Macaca mulatta: one gene and its partner. The protein of the gene in region 1 binds, or shares a complex with, the protein of each later gene. Links are inferred from orthologs where the notes say so. Each region holds a gene or a part of one and is shown in the gene's direction. Other genes may lie near its edges.

Region 1 (2,992 bases):
CAGTGAAAGGAGCCGTACCCGAGGCCCATCTAAGCTTTGGCTAGGGGTGGGGCAGATAAGCAGGAATCCATCCCTGTAGGCTCAATGCCAACACCCTTTGGTGAAACTCCTGATGAAACTTGAGGCCAGGGCCCCAGCAAGCAGGGAAAGAAGGTTGGCAACAGAGGTCTCCATCTGAGGACTCTGCCAGGGGTCAGAGGTGGGGTAATGGTCAAAAGGAAGGAAGTGGCTCATGCCCATAATCCCAGCAGTTTGGGAGGCTGAGGCAGGAGAATTGCTTGAGCCCAGGAGTTTGAGACCTGCCTGGGCAATGTAGTGAGATCCTGTCTCTATTTAAAAAAAAAAAAAAAAAAAAAAGGAAGGAACAGGGAAACTTCTGAGAGACAGGCTGGGGGAGGCATCACGTAGCTGGGATTGCTGCCCCATAAAACAGAATGGTATGTGTCACTGCCACCTCCCTTTCTCAGTCCTCTCTCTCCCCAGGTTGCTAGCGTCCCCCCTGGGGGATCAAACTGGACTGCTTCCCAGCCTCAGACAGAGAGCAGTCTGAGTCAGGCAGGAAAGTGGGACAGCCGGGGAGCTGGACCCCACCCTCTGTGAACCCCACTGGTACCTGATGGCATGTGGCTTGGAGAGGGCAAGTGACCTGGTGTGGAGGGCCAGAGGGTAAATCCTCAAACAAGTGGCAACAGGCCACCAACTTGAAAGGGAAAATTGTGTAGTGATGGGAAATGTGTACAACAAACCTACTGGGTGACTAATTACAAAGGCTGGGCTGGAGCGTCAGAGGCTGCTTGTTAAACACTTCATTAAGTGGCACTCTGAAAGCTGCCACCTGCGCATTCTGGGAGCTCAGAGGGGACCCTGAGGGGGAGTGAGGCCTGAGGGATGGAACCATCTTCAGGTAGATTGAGAAAGAGCCTGGATCTCACTTCCAAACACAGCCTGGAGCTCATAGGTCAGAGACTTCAACGGGAGAAAAGCTAAAGGAAGCAGGGTGCAGAAAGGAGTTTCAGGGAAGTGGTGGCTATGTGACTTTGAGCAAATCTCACCCCTCTCTGAGACTTAGTGTTCCCATCTCTGTGGTCCTGTGTGTGTCACAGAGACACAGTGGGGATTAAATTCGATGGTGAATATGAAAGTGCTTGGGAAACTCTATGGCCCTACCTAAACATGAGTTATCCTCACCTGAATCAAGGGGAGAAGTTACCTGGCAGGATTGGGAACCCCATCCTCCTGAACCTTTATGGGCTCTGTCGAGGCAGAAGCAGCCAGGGGCTAAAGCCGCCCTTAGCCTCTGTAAGGGCGCTGTGAAGGAGGATCTGATTTGAGAAGCCAGGCAGTTTCCTGATGTGAGCAGCCATATGATGCCAGCCCCGAACAAGAGGGGGCAGCCTAGAGCCTGGAAAGGTGCCTGTGCAGGTGGGGCCCACGCCCAGATTTCTTCTGCTGACTGTTCTGATGACTCACCCCCACATCCCAGCCTTTTTACCTTTACTGCAGAGCCGGAAAGGGTGTGGGGAGGAGAGGAGACGGAGGCAGGTCTTGGGCCCTGGTCCCGCCCCCTGCTCCTCCCCACCCTTCTCTGGGCCTGGCCACCCAGCCAAAAGGCAGGCCAAGAGCAGGAGAGGCACAGAGTCCGGCATTGGTCCCAGGCAGCAGTTAGCCCGCCGCCCGCCTGTGTGTCCCCAGAGCCATGGAGAGAGCCAGTCTGATCCAGAAGGCCAAGCTGGCAGAGCAGGCCGAACGTTATGAGGACATGGCAGCCTTCATGAAGGGCGCCGTGGAGAAAGGTGAGGAGCTCTCCTGCGAAGAGCGAAACCTGCTCTCAGTAGCCTACAAGAATGTGGTGGGCGGCCAGAGGGCTGCCTGGAGGGTCCTGTCCAGTATTGAGCAGAAAAGCAACGAGGAGGGCTCGGAGGAGAAGGGCCCCGAGGTGCGTGAGTACCGGGAGAAGGTGGAGACTGAGCTCCGGGGCGTGTGCGACACCGTGCTGGGCCTGCTGGACAGCCATCTCATCAAGGAGGCTGGGGACGCGGAGAGCAGGGTCTTCTACCTGAAGATGAAGGGCGACTACTACCGCTACTTGGCCGAGGTGGCCACTGGTGACGACAAGAAGCGCATCATCGACTCAGCCCGGTCAGCCTACCAGGAGGCCATGGACATCAGCAAGAAGGAGATGCCGCCCACCAATCCCATCCGCCTGGGCCTGGCCCTGAACTTTTCCGTCTTCCACTACGAGATCGCCAACAGCCCCGAGGAGGCCATCTCGCTGGCCAAGACCACTTTCGATGAGGCCATGGCTGATCTGCACACCCTCAGCGAGGACTCCTACAAAGACAGCACCCTCATCATGCAGCTGCTGCGAGACAACCTGACGCTGTGGACGGCCGACAACGCCGGGGAAGAGGGGGGCGAGGCTCCCCAGGAGCCCCAGAGCTGAGTGTTGCCCACCACCGCCCCACCCTGCCCTGCCCCCTTCAGTCCCCCACCCTGCCGAGAGGACTAATATGGGGTGGGAGGCCCCACCCTTCTCCCCCAGGCGCTGTTCTTACTCCAAACGGCTCCGTGGAGAGGGACTGGCAGAGCTGAGGCCACCTGGGGCTGGGGATCCCACTCTTCTTGCAGCTGTTGAGCGCACCTAACCACTGGTCATGACCCCAGCACTGCTCTCCGCACCGCTTCCTCCCGACCCCAGGACCAGGCTACTTCTCCCCTCCCTCTTGCCTCACTCCTGCCCCTGCTGCCTCTGGTCGTAGGAATTGAGGAATGTCCCGCCTTGTGGCTGAGAACTGGACAGTGGCAGGGGCTGGAGATGGGTGTGTGTGTGTGCGCGCGCGCGCGCCAGTGCAAGACCGACATTGAAGGAAAGCATGTCTGCTGGGTGTGACCATGTTTCCTCTCAATAAAGTTCCCCTGTGACACTCCTCCTGTCTCTCTCCAGTTCTTGGCGATGGGTTGGGAGTGGAACTGGAATCTGATTTAGAGATCC
Region 2 (3,160 bases), about 63 Mb from region 1:
ATGCTCAGAATTACACGGAATAGAGACTTTCTTTACCACAAGAAACATTATCATTTGTTTTCCATATGCAGGTCTAGAGAGCCTGGTGCTGACCTATGTCAATGCCATCAGCAGTGGCGATCTGCCCTGCATGGAGAATGCAGTCCTGGCCTTGGCCCAGATAGAGAACTCAGCTGCAGTGCAAAAGGCTGTTGCCCACTACGAACAGCAGATGGGCCAGAAGGTGCAGCTGCCCACGGAAACCCTCCAGGAGCTGCTGGACCTGCACAGGGACAGTGAGAGAGAGGCCATTGAAGTCTTCATCAGGAGTTCCTTCAAAGATGTGGACCATCTATTTCAAAAAGAGTTAGCGGTAATTTTTGTCTCAAATTTACACGGTTTAGGATCATGGAAGCCAAAGTAGGAAAAGGAAAGAAAACGAGTATTTATTCTGATAGAAGTAATTCCTCCCAGCTTCCATAATGGTGAAAACAACAGATTTGTAATCGCATCAATCAGAAGCACCAATTGTATTATTACAGACCCAAAGTTCTAAAACATTTTTTCCTGAATAATTTTCCCTTTACTTATGCATATAACGGACAACCAGAGATTCTAATAAAATTACCTGCCCACTCTTCTCAGACTGATTTGATATTCTAGCCAAACACAAAGAAAATTTTTATCCTAATTATCTTGAACACGCTTCTGATCAACCACATTTATTCCATATGAAATCATTAGTCCAATATGCAAAAGCAGAGTTTTCCTCTAACGGTTGCCATAAAGCTGTCAATCTCAGCCCTGAATCTCACCTCCAAAAAGAAAGCGACTTCAGTAGAAAGTGGGGTCAGGAGGAAGAGTGTGCTCCTGCTGAGGAGTCTGTCAGTTTCTCCAGAGTCATTGACTTTTTATTTTCAGAAGTCTTTCCCAAAATTCTGAGGTCAAGCTCACATCCTTTTCCCTGTTACTCTTTTTACTTCCTATTTTTACATTAAAGGCCCAGCTAGAAAAAAAGCGGGATGACTTTTGTAAACAGAATCAGGAAGCATCATCAGGTCGTTGCTCAGCTTTACTTCAGGACATTTTCAGTCCTCTAGAAGAAGAAGTGAAGATGGGAATTTATTCGAAACCAGGGGGCTATCGTCTCTTTATTCAGAAGCTACAAGACCTGAAGAAAAAGTACCATGAGGAACCAAGGAAGGGGATACAGGTAACCAAGATTTATCTGTCAGTTATGGAAATCTGCTGACCTGCCTCCTACAAACACCAAGGTGACCAAGTCTCGTTGCACACAGGTGTGCTTTTTTGTTTGCATAACATTCATGCTTTTATTCAATAACAAATGCAAAGAGACTGTTATACCAAATATGTCCTAGGTGCTCATCAAACAGAGTACAGTCAATTAACTATTGAGTTATAAATTCAATTACCAGATGAAGCACAAAGTTATTATTGTCATCATTACAGCTGGGCTTTTCCTGTTGCAAGAGAGAGGAACCTAATGATGGCTGCTTAGACAAAAATAGTAATTCATTGATTTAGGCTGCAAACTGGCTTTACAGGACAGGTGGGTCTAAGGTTTCAAATCCCCACAGTTTCCTCCCTCCCATCCTCCCTCTATCTGAGTCACTCTGATATTTGCTTTCTCAAAGATGGCTTCATTCCCCAGCAGGCTCAGCCCATCTGGGACCACAGCATTACCAGTTCCAAACTTAGAGCCCTTAATCTAAACAGGACAGAGACCATCTTTTTCCCAGTATCTATATTAGCCTACTAAAAATGACTGCTAAGTAGGATGCTCTGATCAGCTTGCCAGGAGCATGTGCCTGTCACTCGGACAGGGAATTTGGTCACCAAGAACAACAGGGTCAAGAGGAAGAATTCCCAGAGGAAAGGATGGCAGGAAGACGAACAGGAACACCTGCTTCCAGCCATTTCCTACTGCTCACTCTGTGTTCTCTGGGTCCTAAGGCTGAAGAGATTCTGCAGACATACTTGAAATCCAAGGAGTCTATGACTGATGCAATTCTACAGACAGACCAGACTCTCACAGAGAAGGAAAAGGAGATTGAAGGTGAGGAGTGAGTTAAGAGATTAGATGGCCTCAAAAGCTCTAAAAATTGAAATAACTTGACTAGATAAACATGAGACGGTTTAACTAGAGCAGGATCCACAAAGGTGTGTCTTATTTGCTGAGGTCGTCTCTGAGTAGGGCATCTGCAGTCAACAACAACGACAGGTAAGTGTAGAAGGAAGAATGAGGCAACAAGATAACCCCACACAAATTTTTCTTCTTCCTTTTCCTCCACAGTGGAACGTGTGAAAGCTGAGTCTGCACAGGCTTCAGCAAAAATGTTGCAGGAAATGCAAAGAAAGAATGAGCAGATGATGGAACAGAAGGAGAGGAGTTATCAGGAACACTTGAAACAACTGACTGAGAAGATGGAGAGGGACAGGGCCCAGTTGCTGAAAGAGCAAGAGAGGACCCTCGCTCTTAAACTTCAGGTATCTAATTGCATCACCTCGAGGTTTCTGTTTTTCTGTTTTCTGTCCATTCTCCCTGATCACAAACTTAGTGTGGCAGGGAGAACATGAAGTCCAGGGGAAGGACCCTGCTTGCTTGCTTGTACTTTTCAATTCCTGTCTGTCCGGCCTGAACTGGCTACTGCCAAGTCTGGTCACTAAAAGATTTTTATTTGCAGTTGTGTAACATTCAGTCATTTATCAGTATGTCCTTCAATTCAAGGTAGCTATTATCTGCCAGGCATTATTAAAATATCTGTATCTTGGCCGGGCGCGGTGACTCACACCTGTAATCCCAGCACTTTGGGAGGCCGAGGCAGGCAGATCACGAGGTCAGGAGATCCAGACCATCCTGGCTAACATGGTGAAATCCCGTCTCTACTAAAAATAAAAAAAAAAATTAGCTGGGCGTGGTGGTGGGCACCTGTAGTCCCAGCTACTGGGGAGGCTGAGGCAGGAGAATGGCATGAACCCGGGAGGCAGACCTTGCAGTGAGCCGAGGATCGTGCCACTGCACTCCAGTCTGGGCAACAGAGCGAGCCTCCGTCTAAAAAAAGAGAAAAATCTGTATCTCTTGCTTAATACCATATGAAGAAAGAACTATATCCTTATTACTTAAAAGAAGAAACAAACATTCCAAAAAGAATAAATAATT

Evidence for each region. The genes of interacting proteins can lie anywhere in the genome.
Region 2: the proteins of SFN (region 1) and GBP1 are in contact, whole or in part, in a cryo-EM structure (PDB 8Q4L), measured with the Homo sapiens proteins. The link is inferred for Macaca mulatta from reciprocal best matches to the Homo sapiens genes SFN and GBP1. Residues at the interface, in NP_006133.1 of Homo sapiens: Glu14, Gln15, Ala16, Glu17; in NP_002044.2 of Homo sapiens: Lys210, Gly211, Thr212, Ser213.

Annotation. Positions count from the first base shown.
Region 1 is NC_133406.1:214,122,267-214,125,258, reverse strand, and holds SFN (14-3-3 protein sigma), read left to right. Parts: upstream 1-1,631; 5' UTR 1,632-1,696; coding exon 1,697-2,443; 3' UTR 2,444-2,468; downstream 2,469-2,992. UniProt on the Homo sapiens protein: Adapter protein implicated in the regulation of a large spectrum of both general and specialized signaling pathways. Binds to a large number of partners, usually by recognition of a phosphoserine or phosphothreonine motif.
Region 2 is NC_133406.1:151,528,151-151,531,310, forward strand, and holds part of GBP1 (guanylate-binding protein 1), read left to right. Parts: intron 1-71; coding exon 72-352; intron 353-979; coding exon 980-1,192; intron 1,193-1,953; coding exon 1,954-2,056; intron 2,057-2,293; coding exon 2,294-2,487; intron 2,488-3,160.